Linked DNA regions of Arabidopsis thaliana. The protein of the gene in region 1 interacts with the protein of each later gene in a pairwise test. Each region holds a gene or a part of one and is shown on either strand. Other genes may lie near its edges. The genes, in order: AT1G76880 and AT1G43000.

Evidence for each region.
Region 2: the proteins of AT1G76880 (region 1) and AT1G43000 interact in a two-hybrid assay, tested with the Arabidopsis thaliana proteins (one large-scale study listed by BioGRID).

What each region holds. Positions count from the first base shown.
Region 1 is NC_003070.9:28,859,634-28,871,577, reverse strand, and holds AT1G76880 (Duplicated homeodomain-like superfamily protein), read right to left. Parts: upstream 6,265-11,944; 5' UTR 5,985-6,264; coding exon 5,698-5,984; exon of another isoform or gene 5,172-5,697; coding exon 3,647-5,171; 3' UTR 3,353-3,646; downstream 1-3,352. UniProt on the Arabidopsis thaliana protein: Transcription repressor that negatively regulates root hair growth by directly binding RSL4 promoter and repressing RSL4 expression. Required for the synthesis of seed coat mucilage.
Region 2 is NC_003070.9:16,135,108-16,145,430, reverse strand, and holds AT1G43000 (PLATZ transcription factor family protein), read right to left. Parts: upstream 4,906-10,323; 5' UTR 4,717-4,905; coding exon 4,714-4,716; intron 4,634-4,713; coding exon 4,430-4,633; intron 4,326-4,429; coding exon 4,110-4,325; intron 4,025-4,109; coding exon 3,776-4,024; 3' UTR 3,639-3,775; downstream 1-3,638. Other genes in the region: BZIP60 (basic region/leucine zipper motif 60), read left to right, coding at 7,972-8,408, 8,919-9,369; AT1G42980 (Actin-binding FH2 (formin homology 2) family protein), read right to left, coding at 9,975-10,105, 10,190-10,247.

The DNA.
Region 1 (11,944 bases):
TGTTGTCGGTAAATAGTTTTTTGACAATTAAGTTTCAAAATCATTAGACCTAAACTCGTAAGTCGTAACCAAACAAGCAATATAACCCAACTTAAAAAATTTGTGGCTATCGTAGAAACGTTTGACTGCTGCATCATTATATTCAAACTATCCAAGTTATCCATTATTATGGACTTTTTATTTTTATTTTTTTTTATGCAAAAATATATTTTTGGTTAAATGCAACAACAAAACAATATTTTGTGGGTTTTGGAAAGTAAATAATTTATGTGACACGAAATAAATTTTGGGTGGAAAAAATGATTGGAGAACTTATTTATTATTTTTATTTTGGTAAAAAAATCAATTACAAGAAAGCCATTTTTTCACATGGCATTTGTTGAATTTGCCATTTTTTAAACAGTTTGTGAGTTTGCCATTTTTATTTCATCGGAAAAGACAATTTTACCCTTGTTTTGTTGCAAAAAAAATTTCAGAATTGTTCTTCCACAAAGTTAATTTCTCGATCTGGTTTTTCATGACGAGATCTCATGACAACTCCAGTTTAAGCAACACCAAAGGACGAAAGCTTTGAAACTAATCTCTTTATCTTTGAGTTTCGATTTGTCAGGAGAAATTAAAAAACTCAAAGATTTCATGAATATATGATTATAATTTTCAAATTTGGTTTCGATTTGAAGATAATTTAGAAGGTTTGATTAATTCAGTGTTTATAATTAAAGCTCTTGGGTTTATTAATTCAATGTTTATAGTTGAAGCCCTTGGGTTTACTAGACATTATCCCCTTAGGGTTTAATATTTTTTCATTCAAAATCATTGAATGAAATGGTGTTTATGGTGATGACGTTTCATGAATCGGAGACAAAAGTGATGATGTTAATAGAACTAAAACTGAAGGTGGTGATAGAGTTGAAGTAGATGCGTGGATGAAGCCCGACGGTGGTGGTCGGCAAATAATTGTGGTCCGGCAACAAGCAAAAACGAAATGGAAGACAAAGGTTGAAGACAAGGACAAAAACGTAATTGCATTAGGCCTAAAATGGCAAATCCAAAAGCCCATATCAAAAATAGCATAAACAAAAGATTTGGCCAAAAAATGGCAATCTGAACAATAATCGTGGAGAACATTATTTTGAGATACAGCGATAAAATGATGTCCACTTGTTGATTGCTTTACATGTAGGTACTTACTCAGTGCCACAGATTGTTCGAGTTCATTACACATCTATGGTTTAAAATCATCATTACAAAATTTTCCTGGTATATCTTGCAAATTGCAATAACTGTGCAATGTTAACGAGTGATTATTCACAACGAATAATCTATTTATATCTGCATATTTAGTTAAATGATGATACAAATTTTCTTCTTAAGAATCCTGAATCCATACCTACACATTTTCAGTTTCCAGAAAATTTGTAATTCTCTTCGAGGATAACCAGTGCATATGCATTTCTTTCTATCTTACATTTAATTAAAGCCGCATTTTGCTTGGAAAATGTCTAATGTTTGAGTCTTAAATACAGTGAGACGGTGCATCTAATTTGAGTTGCAATAAAAATTTGAGATACAGCGATAATAAGTTCTTGGTCATATCATCATCCTCGCATTTGCTACATGATAATATCAAATGTCATTTGTCATAAGTATAATTATCTTTTTTTTTTGTAAACAAGTATAATTATCTAACACACGAAAAAATGGACTAAGTCAAAATACATCAAACCTCATTAGTCATTACAACTCTATATGTAGACATCATATAGAATTGACAGTAAGTAGGTCGCTCCGTGAGAAATTATTACACACACAATGAAATTGTAAACCTATACAAAAATATCTTGAATTATTTCAAAATAACATCCAATAAACACATAGAAAAATTTATGGACGTATAAATATTTCATAAATCAACTTTCTACATCCGTGGACGGTGGACCTGCGATTTCAATTTTCAATACTCGTATTAAATAAGAATAAATATTTCCTACGAGTCCTTTTCGTGTACTTTAAAGTCTACTTATTGCCTTGTTTGATCATTTTAATCTCGCAATTTCAAACTAGTTTAACTAGCTATTGATATTCTATAATTCAACGGTGCAAAGTAAGACTTGGTTATGCTAGCTAAAAGAATATAAAGTGATTGTTATCTGATCCAAATAAACGATAACAGACACCAAACAAATTAAAGGTGGGCTCACATTATAATGCAAGGGACGAAAAAAGACAACATGCACTTACAAAAAAATGGTAGTTCCTTTCTTCGAAGGTTGGGTAAGATATTGTAGATTCGTGTCTAGGTTTTAAGTAGTCATAGACAAATAATGATAAAAATGAAATATGTAAATACGCACATACACTGATACACACACACACACACACACACAAAAATGAGAAGAAAACAGCTCTTAACCAATCTGACACAAAATAGGTCTCTACATAGAGGTAATTTTCAATGTCGATTAGGTAACAAATTCATAATAATTAATTTAATTAGTGTAGTATATAGCTTGCAAAACATACAGAATAAAAACAGCGAGGATTATTGTAGATATATTTATATATACGATGCTCTTCATTGTTAACATGTGCAAAATCCATAACATCTTGAATGTTCATGAACCAAACAAACCAAACTTTAACTAAAATTTGTGTTCGGTATGAATAGTAATGCTAATTTAAAACAGCTATAATAATCACAATTTGTATGATGTGATAATCCTTGCAGATTTCACGAGCGAGTGTTTATGCACATGTATATTACAAGTAAAGTAAGCATACGTAAAAAACGTTAAAGAGGAGTCACGATCATCGGTAGATACATCAATTTTTCGGTTAAACAGACAGATCAGGAAATGCGACCAAACATGTGTCGATAGTACTTATGAATTAAATTGTGACACAGCGAATCATCATCGGTCTCAAATAAGAGTGTTTTTGTATGAATGGTTGGATCTGTCACGTGCACTCCACAGTAATAATTTACGAAATCACCCTTACAGAAAAAGAGAGTCTTGCGTTTTAGGGCAACGAAGAAGAAGAGACAGAGATTAGATAAAAGAGTAAGATTCCTTTTTTTACACGTGGACCCCAAACCCCACGCTCTCTCTCATTGTGTGCATGTGAACTTGGCATCTTCTTTTTTATTTTTTGTAATAAAATAACATATACTAATAAAGTTATTTATTTATCCTACCAAGGAAACTGTTACTGAAAAAGGATGAGTAACTCTCGTCTCACAGTCCCACCATGTAATTAATTTTTATAATGTAGACAAAACAATAATGGTAATAATATGTACAAAAACAAATAACACATCGTCACCACCAACAAGAACCATTCATTTAAGAAAACATATACAATTACATTTTCTTTTATTTTTATTTGCTTATGAAAACCCCACATTGTCCCCCTATCTTAACATTTTTTATTTATATATCCCAAGGAAAAAATAATTAAATCACAGTTTATTTTAATTTTGTTTTAACATATTAAATCTCTCTTCAGTATAACTTAAAAATCAAAGATGAAAAAAAAAAAAAAAAAAAAACCCTCCAATATTTAAATTCTCATGTTCTGTATCAAAACTTAAAAAAAGATTACTAATCTTTCACCACCAAACCGGTTCGAACTCGAATCATCATCATTACAGATTATTCGTCGTCTTGTTGTTGTTGTTATTGCTAGGCACAAGCTCGAACTCACCTCCTTCCTCTTCTTCATTCTCCTCTTCCTCATCTTCATCGTCGTACTCTTCATCTGTACCTTCTTCATCATCAAAGTTCTGCTCCGACGGCTGAGATTGCTGATCAGGCTGAGCCGCTGCGGGAGTAGTTGTCGCAGTCGTTACAGCCGGAGGCCATTGCTGCTCTGGTTGGACCATCAAGGGAACAGAATTATCCGGTTTAACAAGACCGGAAGATGAAGAAGAAGCTGCAATGTTGTTGTTGCTGTGGAATTTGTTCCTCTCTCTATATAAAGCATCAAGCTGGTGAAAGTAAGGGCAAGTCTTGGAATCTTCGGGACGTTTCTTGTTGCTCTCTTTGACTTTCTTGAAGTATTTGTTTATGTTTTCCCATTTCTCTTTGCATCTCTTTGAGTTCCTGTTGAATCCTAACCTTCTCATTCCCGCTGATATCTCTTCCCACAATGGTCCTTTTGGTCCGTTTTCTTGATATTTCGAATCAAGATTCGTCCTCAGCTTTATCAATGCTTCTATCTCCACTTTCGGCCACCGCGACGAGCTCGCTGAAGCTGCAGGAGTCATATTCTGATCACCACCATTGTCCGTTTTCGTTGTGTCTAACGTCGACACAACCGCTTGAATTGGCTGCGGAAGCGGAGCAGGAGGTTGCGGTGGAGGAGACCGTTGAGGCGGTTGCTGCTGATTGTTGTTATTAAGCTGCATTGATGGTCGAACTTGTTGCGGCTGAGGCTGCGGTTGTGGCTGATTCGGTTGTTTCTCTGACAGTTTTTGAAGAAAGGCCATAACAGCAGCGTCTTTTGCAGCGGACATAGAGCGTTCTTGAGCTAAGATCTCGTGCTCGCGGTTGATTCTGGCAATCTCTTGAACTCTCCAAGACTCTTCTCTAACCAATCTCTCGTGTTCTCGCTTTTCAACAGCTTCCAAGAATTTGCGTTGAAGCTCTTCCTGTTTATCAACTACTTGTTTCATCAACCGCTCGAAAAACACCTTCCATTTCCTCTTCCTTTTCTTCCTTGTAGTCGCAGTTCCACCACCCATCTCCATGTCAGAAGAAGTCGAATAAGAAGACGAAGACGATGTAGAATTATCCGATAGAAAATCACCGGAGATGTTTGGAAACGAAGGTACATTAATCTGCTGAGTATACGGAGGAATTGATGAAGAAGGAAGCGTCGGCATAACTGTCGTTACCGGAGGAGGAGTTGAAAATATGGAGCTGTTGTTGTTGTTGTTGTTGTTGTTGTTGTTGTTTTGCTGTGGTCGAAGAGGCGTTTGTTGTTGATGATGGTGGAGTGAGGTTGTAGATTGAGACTCGAGAGCTTCTAATTGATCAAAGAAGCGATAAGTTTTGCCTTCGGATTTTCCGGTACGACCTTCTTTGGTTCGTTTGTGGTATTTGTAAACGTTCTCGAATTTCTCTTTGCATTTCTTTGCGTTTCTTATGTAACCATGCTCCGCCATTTTCCTATCAGAACCAAAGAAAAAAAAAAGATTCACAAATTCATCAAAAAATTCATGAAGTAAATAGACTAATTTTGTTATGGAAAAAAAGAAAAAGGATAAATATGGTTGAGAAGTGGATCAATCAGCATGAGTTTGTGACAAAAGAGTCTTGCTTTCTCAATCTCATGAATATAACATGACCCAACTTATATTATCTAACTGTTAAATAAAGTTTAAATTTTTAATGAAACCCACTTCAAGAACTGTCCGAATCTGAATCTCACTGAACTATACAAACCAAAAAGACAACTCTTACAAATTCGGCGAAATTCAAGCAAATCCCAAAAGACAAAATTGAACCAAATCTCAGACAATTAACACAGATCTTTAAACAACACTCGTTCAATTTAAAAAAAAAAAACAAGTTTCATAATCATTCCCAATTAGAAAACAAAAAATTCAGAGAAGAAAAAAAGAGAGAGTGGAAAAAGAAGTATACCAAAAAAAGGAAAAGGGAATAAAGAGGAAAGGGAGAAGAAAACGCGAACCTAGAAACCTCTTCCCATAAGGGACCTTTAACGCTAGCGTCTCGAAACGCTATTCCCATGTCAGATCGTATTTTCAACAACGCTAGCGTTTCCTGCCGCGGCCAACGATTTCCTCCAAACCCACGGTCGTGCATCTCTTCCGACACCTCAAACGCCCCAACCGCTGCTGCCGCTGCTTCTGTTGCCGCTGAATCGTTGTTGTTTGATTGTGGCGGTGGTGCTGTAGCAGTTGTGACGGTTGTAGCCGCCGCTGTAGTGGTCGGAGTACCACCACCCAGTTGCATCATCGTTTAATAAAGTTTTTTTTTTTTTAATCTGTTCCTCTGTTTTTCTTTTTTTTCTACTCTCTGTGTCTTTGACGGAGAAGAAGTTACAGAAATGAAAAATAAAAAAGAGAAAAAATAAAAATTTAGAGAAGAAAAAAAAAATGGGAGAGATAAAGAGAGAGAGAGAAAGAGAGAGTTTACATGAGGAAGAAGAGTGAAATCTCTGGGCGCAGGGTTTTATGGTGTTAGAGAGTTTTGTAAATACCTAAGTTAATTTCTTTACTTTATTTTATATTTGTCTGGTGATGAGATCTGCTTGTCAATCTCAAGGAGCCATTCTAACATTTATATATTTCTTTCGATTTATTTCTTTTTTACCTATTTTCTTTTCTTTTTATTGATACTTTTTCCTCTGTTTGTGCCAAAATGGAATCTTCTCAAATTTCTCTCTCCTCTATTTTCCGAGTTTTGGGGTAAATTATTTTTCACTTTGTATTTTCTTACCAAGATTTGTATACTGTAATTGTGGTTTAGATTGATTTTATAGGGGGCTTGTAATTGTAGGTATCATCAAAAATGACCTCATAGGATTTTGTATCAATATATTATTAAATCTGGTAAAGGTGTTTTACTATTTTATATTTATAATAAAAAATTTCTTTAATAATATTGAACCACGGTTACGTATAGTATAATAAATATAATTACTCGTTTTTGGTTAAATTCCAAAATGTGAGGTTATTGCTATGTACTGTTGTAGAAGAAAAAGTTAGTAAAGATTTCAATTGTAAATTTGTTTTGTTAACTACGAGCGTTACGTAAAAATATATTATTTAGTTTTATCATAGATTAAAAAGAAGATAAAATTAAATTTTGAATGATTTTCTAAGATTTGTAAAAATTATGGTTAAAGTCCAAAATGTAAAATTATTGTTGTGGACTATTGTAGAAGAAAAATTTAGTAAAGATTTTAATTGTAAATTTATTTTGCCAACTACGAGCGTTACGTAAAGATATATTATTTAATTTTATTATAAATTAAAAAGAAGACAAAAATAAAATTTTGAATGATTTCAAAGATTTGTAAAAATAAAGTTTAATTGATAAAATTGTTAAATTTAGAAGTTGTAATTCAATAATTTTTTGTAAGTATATTTGATACAATCTATGTAACAAAATGTATGAAAAATAAAGTAAATATATGAAGTAAATTTTGGTTGATTTCAATTTGGTTATAAAAAATGGGTGATGGTTGTAATTGCTACCATGGACTGTTGTAGAAAATTGGTTATAAACTTTTGACTGTATTTATTTTTGATAGCTATGTTACGTAAAAAAATATTATTTATTTCTACTTTAGAGTTTTTAAAAATGAGGTTTGTAAATGAAATATTAAATAAAATTTTCATCCCAAAACATTAAACAAAAAAAACGGAGAGAGTCATTTTCTAGTAGAGCAAAGCTAGAGTAATAGTGTGGTGTTAAAAACCAGAGTTTATCATCATGGGTTGTATATGCAATGATGAAAAAAGTGGGCACAAAAAGATATATACGAAGGAAACTGAAGGATTTAGTTTTTAACCAATAGTTATTTATTACCAAAAAAGAAATTATTGCAGAGATTTATTGACAGCTGGGCACAAAGACGGTGGTGATTATTAGTTGGTTTTTGTCCGTCCAGCTAAATTGTCTTAAAAACCCAGTTTAAAAATCACAAATATTTTAATTCGAAGTTTATAAAATATTTCAAAAAACGTAAGACTATATAATTTTCTCATACTGATGTTTGCAGTAATGAATTCGTATAATGTAAGTTTATAAAAGAAAATATAAACACATTCGACATTCCCATTTTTATTTCAAACAGACATAAGTTATTAAGCTATATGTTGGTTCAAACATTGCTTATTCATTGTTTATGATCTTGTAATGATAAATAATGTGTCTTTGTATAAATCAACAAAATGCTGCAACAGGATAAACATCAATTTAGAAAATAGGGATAATTAACAGGATTATATTTCAAAGATCACAAGTAGAAGAACAAATAAAAAAAGATAGGGGTAAAAGGTAAAAGGTAAAACGTAAAAAAAGTTGGTGGAGATGAGGATGAACTTGCTTTTTGGAACGTATACAGTGGCGGGTGACTTACGTATTATTTGAAATTACTAAATTGTCCCTAACGTGGATCCCATTGACCTTTAATCATTGAGGCTTTTTAAGCTATTAATCTATTTTATTAGCTCTCAACATTTTAAGACTTTAAATCATTAATAAACTAAACCATCCTCATTACTGATCTGGATTTGTCCCCCCTGCAAATTATTTTAATATCAATTCACTACTGATCTTCTTCCACACTCTACAAACACGGGCTCGATTTCAAAATCAATCCAGAGATTTGATGATTTTTTTTTTGTAATAAATTATTGTTATGATACAAAGTAATCGAAATAATAAATATAAATGATGAGAGGATGTTGGAAGGAAAGTGGTTAGATGGAAGTCATTTTCGGGATTGAAGTAAATAGATTGGTGACCATTTCCCGTTTGAGGCCATACATTACATTGCCTCCGTTATTCATTTTTATTTTATATATTGATGGTTTTTGCGTCATCTCAAACCGATTTGACGGCCGTTATTTAACTAAATCAATTATTTAAACACTTAAAACGATGACAACCTAAACCATCAATGTCAATAGTGCAGGGTATTAATTTCTCCCAACGTCCCGTTTTAATTTAACCTACAAAATCTTACATGAAGTTAGGAATAGTTTTACTTTTACCAATATGTAGTTTGGTGGTAAAATCCATCGTTTCTCCAAAGAGGGATATGCATTTAGATGTGATGCGTTCGAACTTGTTTTGGAATGACCTATTTAAGTTCGTGATGGAACCACATATTAACTTTAATTTGGGTCAAAATTTTCCGTATTAACAATAACAAAATATAGTAATATTTTTGGGCCAATCACAACATGAATTTGAATCCCAACATACTACGGTTAACGTAATTTGCGCAAAAACAAAACAAAACATATTCCTAAAATATTAATGGAAACAGATTCGGAGTTGCATGCATTGACAAGATTGCTCTTCTGTATATATAGATAAGAGGTTAGCACAAACAAGTACAAGAACTAAACGACTAGTAAAATGAGACATTCTAGCATAATTACTATAATAGTAATGATTATTCTGCTGCAACGCCTTCATAGTTTGCAGATTTTGCAGTTAGCATAATCGTGATACATAAATCTTTGTCTATTGCATAACGATTATCCATTTAATAAAACAATTTTTGACAATTCTGTATTTTTTAAAAACTATTTCACTAAACTGCATACTTCATCTAAAAGCTGAAAAACTTCTTTTTAGTATATACTATACGAATTTACTAACACGATATATATAGTAACTTGGGGTTATAGTAAAATGTAGATTGTCAAATGCGCAATTTGCGTATAAGACTAATCATCAGCCTACTCAGCATAGCGTTGGGGGTAAAACGATTGGAATGTTCATCGAAATTCACGGCATGATTAGGCAGTAAATGTTAACAGCGTTAGATTCAGATATTTAATGAATTACATGAAAATGTATTGAAAGCTGATATCAGGGACCATCCTTTTGGTAGCTCCTAAAAGCATTGAATATGATTTTTTCTACGAAATTATATAGTAGCCACTCGATTTTCGCATGGCTCGACCCTTAACGTTACAATTTTTATCTTATTGTATTAATAAAGAAAAAGTATATTTTATCTGTCGTGGGTCTTTTTCGTATAGGTGCACTTCGTCGGAGTTGAAAACGACCATTATATATAATAACGAGTCTTAAATAATAATAAAAACATTGCGTACCATTATATAATCTGCATCTATATATGTTCTTTACTAAAATATGTGTTTCACACTATGCTTTTGTGAAAGATGTATATGAAAGGAAAGTGGTGTCTCTTGTTTTTTATAGAGTAAAATGTCACAAAATCAAGCAAAGAGTATAAAAATATACTCTTTGAGTTACATGTGATTATTAATTAATACACAACGTTTATCCGTATAATTTAATTACTAAATACAACATGCGCACAATGATGCATATAAGCGCTTAACTTTTTATTTATCCATAACGAATGATATTATTTATGATTACTTATTTCAAATATGGTGGTTTTACAAATTACAACCCTGCTAAGAGCAGATTAATTACAAATAACAGTTTAAGAATTAGGTAGAAAACCCTAGAAAATATGAACAGAGACATTAGTGTACAAATAACCATAAAATTAAGTAAATCAATTATTGATGGGCCATGGTAATTTTAAGGTGGAGGGAAAAAATGCAAGTGGATTGAGCAAGTAGCCATCTAAAAGACGAAATTACTGCACCAATTACACCAACAACAAAAGAAAATAGAGGTGAAAAAAGTTTGTAGTTTGATCACTTTTTTCTTTTTGGGTTATATCCTTCTACTACCATAAGTTTTAACTATCTTTAATGTTGTAATTTTATCTTTCTACTACAATAATTTTACATTTTGACTTCCAATGACTATTGCGAAAATAGAAATAAAACGTTTGCAATTACTCCACTAGTCACACCATAAAAAAAAATTAGAGGTGAAAAGAATTTGTAGTTTGATCACGTTTTTTGTTTTGATTTTAACTTTATCCTTCTATTTTCATATTTTTTTGTTTTTAACCTTTTTACTCCCTAAAACTATGGCGAAAATACAAATAAAAGCATAACTATGTAGTTGTACTGAACTCAACTACTATTTTTTCAGAGGTTTTAAACTTAGCAGACAATTTCTACGATCAGCTTTAGTAAATTACCATCATTACTCACACGACTGCATCTGCACGGAAAATCATACACATATATACACACACATATGTATGTGTGTGCACGGAAAATCACAAAATATGTGTCAGCGTCTGTGAAAAATCACAAATATGTGTTGTGTGCTCCGAACTAATTAATCTCCTCTAACTCATTTTCCAACGTGGCATTAGTGTACAAGAACTATGTAATTACTTTTACTTAATCTATAGTACTTGTTTTCATTGTTTTATTAACTACACTAGCTAGTAATTCGAATTTAAATTATGCCAGCTCAATCAGTTTTCCAAATAACCTTAATCTTACTATTTGCATAGGTTGAAGATAAAATCCGTAGTGGACGTATACAATTTATCTGTATATGTCATCTGCATATCTGTTGATTTCATTTTTTTATCTTCACAAATCATGAGATATATAACGGCGGGTTTTGGATTCATGTGAAGGTGCTTCGCTGTCGTAATTTGTATTCTCCTTTTTTATATTGATTCATTCTTAATTATGGTTCTTTCTATCAATTATGATTATGAATGATACGGTTTAGGTGCGGTTCATTTCGATTTATACAACCGACAAAATTATAAGTTGAAATAGAACCGACATTATACAAATATGCGGTTTAGTTTGCTTAATATATAGTTATAGCTTTCTTAATAAATAATTGTACCACTAAACTTAGATACAATGTGAAAGATAATGGATTGTATGAAAGACTGATGAGGATGATGATTAACGTGTCTACATCAGTAGATATAAATATTATATAGTCTACCTAAATTTCATGGAGCAACATAGATATAATAATATGTACTTAAGGATTCACAAATCACCCGGAGGATATAAATATATTTGTATAATAATTTAAAATAATAAATTAAATAAATCGATTCTGCCGCAAGAAAAATTATACGAGTAAGTAAAGCTAGCAATTAACTTATAGTAGAGTAGAGATTTGATTAAATACTAAACAAATAAAAGGTTGATACAAGCTGGGTCCACTAATTAAGAACTTCAAAAGTGTGATTAAAATCTTGGGATTATTTTTGAAAAAGTTGGTAGATCCATAAAAAAAAACTTTGCTATTTTCAACCATCCGTTTTAAACAGGGACGAGAGAAATAAAGTGAAAGTCAAA
Region 2 (10,323 bases), about 13 Mb from region 1:
TAAATGTTTACCGATGATTGGAATTTTAAATAGTAAATGATAATTCCTATTTTTTAAATATCTAATCTAGTAAAAAAAATTTATATCGAATTTTAATCTTACAATATTCATTTTGCTATATACTTAATGATTTTAACTATATCTTATTGATGATATTAAAATTTTAAGTTAGTCAACACACTTTCTTTATATTTTGTTTAGTAATTAATAAAAACCAAAATTTTAATCTTATAGATTTTATTTTGCTATACAATTTAACTATCTATTTCATCATGATAATCTCGATTTTGATTATGCACATGTTATTTTAATGGATAACTGTTAAATTTTATATCAAAATAATATGTATATCATATCACATCAATATAATTATATCATATCAAAATAATAGAATTACTTCATATTAAAATATTTAATAAATAACAAAACATAATGAACCAAAAATAAAGAAAACCACAAACTATTTTGGAAAAGAAACATTGTTTAAGATATAGTTTTGTTGTATTCTATAATCTCATAAATTAGTTTTACCTAATGTCAAACTCATATTAAATGACTTAAAATTTATATTAACATTGTCATCAAATAATCAAAAAATCAATCCCTTTAAGCCCTATTTTCCTAATTTTTGGTGTTTTCACTAATGACTACATGCATTGAAAATCTTAAACTAAAAAATAAGTATAAAGTTTTTGAATAATATAATATTAATTATATATCATCGAGCTAATAATTTTAGATTATAACATGTGTCATTATTTAATTTAAAATTATATGTTATTCCTTTTGATTTTATTTTATAACTAAAAGTTTGTTAGGATTTAAAATAAATTGTTATGTTGTTTATTTGAATTTCCATTTTTTTGTTAAGACAATTTAGATCAATATATATTTCTTCTTTTCTGCTATTTTTTAATTTAGGTGTAGTATTTTGTAGATTCTTTATTTTATTTTTATTTTCCTTTTAATTTTTATTTTTATACTTTTATTATCTAAGACTCATATATCATTGTACTTATAATTTTCATTTTTCTTTTAGTTATGTCAAATTAATTTCTCAACTTTTCTAATTTCTAGGTTGGTTATACACTCACTTCATTTAAGCATATTTTTTTCTTTTATATAAATGTCATCAATTATTTTTATGTGATTATTTAATATATTTTTTGGGTCAACAATTTAAATGGTTAAAGAAACTATAAGAAAAAAAAATAGACATATAGTTGGGGTATTGTTATCAACTGATCATATATATATTTTGTAAACGGTAAAAAGCATAGTTCAATAGTATATTTGTAAAATAATGTAAATAAGATCAAAGTTTGACTGGTGGTTGGATTATAAAAAAAAATTGAAAAATATATGGATTTCCAAAATTACTTTTTTGTGAATTGACATTACTAATAATGATAAGTATGTGGTAAAACATTTGATAACTAAAATATAGAAGTAAAAATTAGTGAAATAAAAACTTTTTCTCAACAAAAAGGTTTAAAGAAATATTATAAGTCTTTTCTCTAGCTAAAAAAGTTATCTATTTTTTCAAAAATATTTTCTCTTACAACAAATTTTGATATACATTTATAAAATTTTATTTTAAAACTTTAAAACCCGTCCATCGGGCGGGTCCTAATCTAGTAATTTATAAATTATACAACATTCAAATAAATTAGGAGAAGAAAATAAGTGACCACAATTGTAAATTCAACTTTAACTTGTGAAGAGTTTGTACAAAAAATTTTTTTATAAACTAATACTCGAGAAATTAATAATCACTATAATTTATAAAAGTTTTTGGTCTTTAGCGAGGCAATATAATATTTAACATAATTCGATAAAATAATAATTTGTTTGAAAATCGTATGTAACTATCTGGTCACATCATTATCATATACTAATAATTGCATAAACTTATCAATATATATATATATATAAGTTTAGTAAAATATGAATTAACTATTATTTGTTTTTTCTTAAATATAGGTATGATCAAAATCTTACCGTAACCGGTTAATTGAGAAAAGATAAGTACTTGAGTAAATCCAATAGAAAGATATAGAACGAACCATCTGGGATGTGACGAGTATAGACTCCAGTAGCACTAAGCGCTAACATTGTATTCTTATTGATTCGATGTGTTTCCGAATGTGTGTATTGATGTTATTGGTCCTCGGTAATTTTATTATATAAGCCAATATTACATAGGCTGTAGGAAAAATTCATAGATTTTAGAGACAAATTTGAAACCCAACACAACTTGATAAACTACTTCATTTATAATAACGAAAAAAAAACTTTTCCTTTTCTTACCCTTGAGACCAACAATCAAATAACTTTGTAACGATAACAATACATTCCAACCAACGATAAAAAGACTCACTTTGGAAGCATCAAGGTATAATTAAAAAGTAAGTTTCTTTATAAGCACGACATCGACACATAGGCTAGAGTTAGTTGTCTATATATTAATACCAGGGAGATGAAATTATGAAAGACTAATAAAAATAATTGTACGCTTTCTCGAGGGTGTCAGAATAAATTGGTTCGGTCTTGTGCAAGGTAAATCCCAAAGTCATGTTCAAATCCTCAAGAACGACCTCGAGGGTGTACAATCCTCAAATGAATATATAAGTGAAGCAAGCATGAGAGGTACAATCCTCAAAGCCAGTGATATTCCAGGACATATCCAGGGTATCTTCTCAATGTCTTTTTATTTTTAAGAGTTACTAATAATTTTTTTTTTAAATTAATACATGCTAGATTTATTTAATTGATCATAACACATGTACTGTTAATTTTTTTTGATTAATAAACATAATTATATATATATATATATATACTTGCCATATGTCATGATCTCGCGAGTTACTAACTTTCTAAACTGTATTTTATATAATAAGATTTGGACCCATGGATTGCCTGATTTATTATGGTTCTTTTTGGGTTTGGTCTAATTTGGATTTGATCCCATTTAGCTTAAACCAATAATGACCAAAAAATAGGGCTGTTCATTTGGACATGAACAGCCCAGTTGACATCTTTAATGGGGCATGAGCCTTGTAATGTATGGGCTAATCCCAATATGTTTGTGTCCACCATATGAACCTACAAAGTCAATAAAAATGAAAATCCTTTGGCAAAATAAAAAATTAAATCGTTTTCTTTAAAAGGAGGTAAACAAGCAAAACATGATTTACCTTCCACAAAAGGAAATATATCTTTGCCCAAAAAATTATAAGATACTCTCACCAAACCCCAAAAACAATGTTGATGGCAAAGTATGACAAATCCGCACCACTACACTTTCTCCATTCTTTATTAAACCAAGCTTATTTTATACCATACTTTTCACATATCCCCTCCATAAATGCCAACTCACTCTCTCACTTTTTAAGCTAAAATGAACATTCAAAAGACCATGAAGGAATCTCCTATAAATATACAAATATGTATTTTTACATCTCCATGTTTTGTAAATGTGATGTGACATTTTAAAATTTTATTTTTCCAAATCATAAAAATAGATGATAGTGCTATAAAAAATAATTAAAGAGACAAAAGTGAGGTAAATAAGGCTGTTTAAAATCATATATTTATAACCCAATATCTATGAAAAAATCACACTTTTGTTCTGTACTCTTATAATCATTAAGCTTGCTACTATTTATGTAAGATGATTCCATTTACTCATTAGTCATTTACCAACACTTTTTGTTTTCTCTTTTCTGATCCTTCCCATATTCTATCTTATATCTTAACTCTTTCATAAAGCCTTTTAGAAAGGTGCTCGTTGAGGTATACCCTTTCTTCTACTCTTCATTGGGTAATTCCGGTGGCTTTCTATTGAAGGTGTCTCTGGAGATAACACACCCGCGGTTTCGCTGCGTTGGTCGTCAACCGCAATCGAGATCCCGTCGATCAAACGGCTACAAATCCCGGTATTGATGATCTTCGACGAGTCATCACTCTTTCCACTATGAAATAAAGTCAGGTTTGGATCCTCTCCATTCTTCACACCTTCAAGCTATTTTAGACCAATAAGAAACAATCAAGAAACCTATATAATCAAACTTGAGTTTGAAGAAAGACCACAACATTGCAGCATTTACCTTACAAGCAAGAGAACAGAACAGGAACGAATCGAGAAGGTTACGAGAACAGATCTGACATGTTTTGTTTAAGCTTTTACCAGTTCGACATTGAGGTCTCGCGTTTAAGAAGAAGATCTTAGCACTATTGATAACATAAGTCTGAATACAAGAGATATCAATATGTTTTTGAATCTCACTCACTCTCACCACATTATGATACGACGATCGTCGAATCTGTAACAACAACAAAAAAAAAACATAGAATTAGGTTCATTAAACAAACGTGTTCGACAAAATTCCTGAGAGATAGATGGGTAATGAAAAATTGAAAACCAAACCTGGATAACACGATGGGTTCTGTGATGAGCGAGACAAGAAGAACAAAAGGCATTGCCTGAACAATCCAAACAAAACAGATTACATTCACTTTTACTCGATTGTGAATGAATCGAACAAGTCACGAAGTAATCAGCTCGAAGCATTGGTGTTAGCCATGGCGGAGTCATTACGTCGTCGTTCTCCATTTTTACAATGGAACTCACCTGAAAATAACACAGACCCATGAATCAATTTCTATAAAATAACATCGATTGAAAAATTCTGAAAAAAACAGAGGAATAACCATTGTTTGGGTTTTGATCTGTTTGACACACGAAACTTAATCTGAGAAACAGAGAAAAAAACAGAGATGGTTACTGAGAAAATGGAGAATATAGCGGCCACAGGTTTGTGTGGGGGTTTACAGAGAGAAGACGAAGAAGAAGAAGAAGAAGAAGACGATGGAGAAATTTATAAGACACTGAAAAGGTCGGCCTTTTTTACTTTTTGTTACTTATTTTTATTTATATTTTCTTCCATATTGTTATAATAACTTTACATTTAGACTCTTTATTTATTTTATAATCTCAAAACCCCCTAGTTTTGTGAAAAAGAGCATTTTTTCTCATCAATTTTGCTTTGGTTTTATTTGGTTTGCTGTATTTAGATCTAGATTTTTATTTTGTTGTCATTTTATTTGGTAGATAATAAATTATTTGTTAAAATTAGTAAAATAAATATATTGACAACAGTTATCTTTTCTGACGCGTGTTAGATATAAGAAAAATAAAATTTATGTAAATAATGTGTTATTAATACCATGATTGACAAATGATTTACTAATTCTTATTGCTTGTGTGATTTTTTTTCATAGTACTCATGTTAATTACTTATCTTTTTATGTTATTATATATTATAATATTTTTACTTATAGGTCCTCTAGTTTTTTTATTTAACTAAAAGCCCCTGTTTTTCCAAAAAATGACTTTGATATAAAATAGCTATATAACATCAATTATATTTGGTAGATAATCCAACAAGAGTTAAAAGTGGTCAAATGATTTTAATGGAAATTATTATTTTTGACGCGTGTCAAAAAGAAAGTGATATTATATCAAATAATATAGTCAAACAAAATAGGAATATCTTCTTAAAACCGTTACGTGAAATCTATACTAAATTTAAAATAAATTTAAAAGAACTTGTGTGAGAAATGAACCACTATATGTACAAAATGTCATATATAGATTTTGATAATAAAATGTCATATATAAATTTTGATAATAAAAACCTAAAGTATAGTTAGGTAGTGATATTACTCATTTTATTTTTGTATAATACAAGCTAAATTTGGTTAAATATTTTTAAGAAAATTATTGCTTTTAACGCGTGTTAAAAAGAAATTTATACTATGTCAAATAATATATCATCAAATAAAATTTAAAATTAAGACATGTGAAATCAATACTAAAATTTAAAAAACGTGATGATAATTAGACTAGGACAATTACAACATTGCACAATTTATATAATTTGAGCTAGGCTAGAAAAAAGTGACTTTGAACTAGGTTTAAATCAAATTCACCTTGGTAGTAACAAAAGTAGAGTAAAACCAAGTAAAATAAATTCACGTTGAATTTAGTTTCCCTCGCTATCATGTTCTTCAAATTTTAAAGATGTTACTTAGGACGTTGGGGAAGTTATTTGAAGTTTGGTGAACAAGGAATTGTAGTACATGTGGTAAGTATTCCCGCTTACATACAAACAAAAAAGTAATATACAAAAGGAAATATATGCTTTACGTAGTTAAATAGCTTTGTTAGAGTCCTCTCTATTAGTTTAATTACAAAATTTGCAATCCTTATATTTCTTCATAGGTATTTAATTAGCATTATAAAAGAACTATATCATAGAAAATATACACTATTAACTTTCGATAAGTGACTTTATGAACCACGTCATTAGATCACAAGTCAGGTTAATACAATTGTCCTAAAATTATAATTAATGTAAATAATGTGTTACTAAAATTATAATTACTAATGCTATTATTGACAAGTTCGGTTGATAAGCAAGTCCAAAATCAAATCTCATCAATCAGACTTCTTGGGGACAAGAGATACGACCTCCAAATTTGGTTTTTGTCCAGAAGTTAAAACTAACATCATCTAGCTTTTTAATATTTCTATTGGTGTTTAAAACTTGTCTTCTATTCGTTTCTAATTGAAATTGCACTTTATCTACTTTTTTTAAAATATAATTTAACATTTTATTGAAAAATATATAATCATCAACTGCTTTTAATGTTAAACTACTTTTTAAGTACTTTTTGAAAAAGTGTAATTATTCACACAATCTTGAAATAATTTTCATCGTAAAACAATTTAATAGATGTTAATGTTGGAAATATATAAACATCAGGAATTTGAGGATGGATCTCTGTATACTCCTCATCCTCTGTATTATATTATTTAGATAGAGATTAATGATAATAAGCTACCAAACCATTAGCTAATTCACTATAGTAATATCTATTCCTATTTTAAGTTATGACTACAAAACATTAGCAAATAAACCTTAAATGAGTATGAAGAAAATAGTAAAATATATTTATTCTTTAAAATACATATAATAACAAAAATAAATTTAGAATTGATACAATTAAAGATAAATAATTAATAATAAATGTAAATCTTACATTAATTATTGAATGAACACATAGAAAATAATTAAATAATAACGTGACATTCATATGAAAATAGTAGATCAACTTTCACATATATAATTAGTTCACTCATCTGCTAGAGAACTGAAAATTTTACAAATTCATTCATGTGAGATTGAATGAAGATTAATCACTCATTTAAAATTGAATAAGGAAGATAATCCAGAATGTAACATAAATTGACAATATAATATATGATTTTAATTAACAAATTGATAACTTTCAAAGTCTAGAAGATGGTCACGAAGGAAGAAAAGTCCTCTCGGAGAACAAAGATTCAATCGTGGAAGATGTTGACGGTGACAAAGAGAAAAAGGGACTGAAGAATTTTGATTGATTTCTGAGAAATGGTCAAAGAAGCCTTGCTCTCCTTGGTCTCATTGTCCATCTCAACTACATGTACATCGTTTTGACTATAGCTAACTGGTTTACATAACTGTACCGAAAATAAGAAAATCAAACCAAGAGAAAAGAAGTGAATTAGAACCGAGTTATTAATCACACGAACACTTCACTGAGTACACGTGTTCGGCTGTGATCCTATTCTTCCAGCTTGAAGCCTTCTCATTGGTTGTGTGACGGCACATAAAAACAATAATCCTCTGCTAACAGAAACACTATAACACAGTACACTCCATCACATCATTGGCTAAAAATTCAAAAAACGCGTCCATAATCAACACGTGTCATGCTGACTCTTTTTCTACACATTTACTTGGTCGCAAAGAAATTTAGAAAAGTCTCAAACACAGTTCCTATATAACTCATCTCTCTTCCAATTTCTTAAATTAAATTCGCTTTTTTTTTTCTTCTTTGTATATTTTTTTTTTTTTGACCATGGCGGAGGAATTTGGAAGCATAGATTTACTCGGAGATGAAGATTTCTTCTTCGATTTCGATCCTTCAATCGTAATTGATTCTCTTCCGGCGGAGGATTTTCTTCAGTCTTCACCGGATTCATGGATCGGAGAAATCGAGAATCAATTGATGAACGATGAGAATCATCAAGAGGAGAGTTTTGTGGAATTGGATCAGCAATCGGTTTCAGATTTCATAGCGGATCTACTCGTTGATTATCCAACTAGCGATTCTGGCTCCGTTGATTTGGCGGCTGATAAAGTTCTAACCGTCGATTCTCCCGCCGCCGCTGATGATTCCGGGAAGGAGAATTCGGATTTGGTTGTTGAGAAGAAGTCTAATGATTCTGGTAGCGAGATTCATGATGATGATGACGAAGAAGGAGACGATGATGCTGTGGCTAAAAAACGAAGAAGGTATATCTAATTTTACTCTTGTTTGAAAAGTTAGGGTTTATGGATGGATTTTGTATGTTTGTGTTGATTTTGGTTTCATTAAGATTGTTAAAAGTGTGTTATGCTTTGAGAACAACATTGAGAACTAGGAGATACGTATGTGTAACAGTGAAGATTTGAGAAACGAGTGTTTAAATTTTGCTTGCGTATCTTGTGATATGTTCATGTTATTATGTTTATGTATGTGTGACGTTGAAGAGTTGATTGATTATGAGTGATGTTGATTTTTGTTTCATTTAGATTGCTATAAGTGTGTTATTGTTTTGATAACAACATTGAGAACTAATCATTTAAGTAAATGACTGTTTAAATTTTGGTTGCCTTTAATTATTGTTAATCTTGTGTTAATATTCATGAGCTGATTATGTTCAAACATAGGTATGTGTATTTTGGTTAACTTAAGATTGTTAAAGCCTTTTATGCTATGAAAAGAAACTGAGGTTTGATAATTGGGATGTGATTGTGGTTCAGGAGAGTAAGAAATAGAGATGCGGCGGTTAGATCGAGAGAGAGGAAGAAGGAATATGTACAAGATTTAGAGAAGAAGAGTAAGTATCTCGAAAGAGAATGCTTGAGACTAGGACGTATGCTTGAGTGCTTCGTTGCTGAAAACCAGTCTCTACGTTACTGTTTGCAAAAGGGTAATGGCAATAATACTACCATGATGTCGAAGCAGGAGTCTGCTGTGCTCTTGTTGGAATCCCTGCTGTTGGGTTCCCTGCTTTGGCTTCTGGGAGTAAACTTCATTTGCCTATTCCCTTATATGTCCCACACAAAGTGTTGCCTCCTACGTCCAGAACCAGAAAAGCTGGTTCTAAACGGGCTCGGGAGTAGTAGCAAACCGTCTTATACCGGCGTTAGTCGGAGATGTAAGGGTTCGAGGCCTAGGATGAAATACCAAATCTTAACCCTTGCGGCGTGACAACGCCTTTTTTAACTGCTTCTTTTGCGCATTTTGAGTTGTAGATGAGTGTCTTTTAGTTTTCTCTCTCTTGTTTTGTATTTCGCTGTTGAAAGTTTTCTGTCTAATATCGATAAGTTAACAGTGAATGTGGGTCTTATGGTTATGGATGATATCTATCTAATAATGCTTCTGCCTTTAAAATGTTGATTTTGAGGCATAACTTCAGGTAATATCACTTCTAATTACTAGATAACAATTCATTAGGTTGATTAACATTGATAAAGCTTTTCCTCATGCTAGTTTTTACATGTTTGCTTCATTTGACATTATCACAGTTTTTTTTTTTTTTTTTTTTGTCATCAGATATTATTTAGGGTTCAGACGAGCCAATCTTTGGGATTGTCACAGAGATTTTTGTTTGTAAAATGTTTGGTACGGATGCGTAGGCAGGTAAAAAAAAACGAACAGATAGTTTTATTAGAACAATGAAGATAAGGTAAAACTTCGAATTGTAAAAAAGTTCAAATATTTTCTAGTACATAAGCACTAGAGAAGAGATGATAGATAGTTTGCAGTTCCATCTAAGCAGCATAGAAGTTGTCGATGAAACTAGCTACGGTTCTTTAGAGGTTCCCATTTTGTTTGATGTTCATTTTTCTTTTCTCCAGTATCTCCTTCTCAGCCTCGGCTTGTCTTTCAATCTCCTCGCGAGACTTGTAGAACGTTTCCACGAAACGGGTCAGGATGTTGGTCGCTGCAGATAGGGAGAATAGCCAGAGTAGAAATGAGAACCGCGAAATGTAGACATGAGTACAATAGACAGTAGATGTGATGGTACCTTCCTTGAAGCGAACACCACTTGGATACTCAGCTATGTAGGAATTTACAAGTCCTCCCTGTGAGTTACAAAGTAAATATAGGTTTTGAGCATGATATACATGTCCTTCAAGGTCTAACCGAGAGTTATATAGG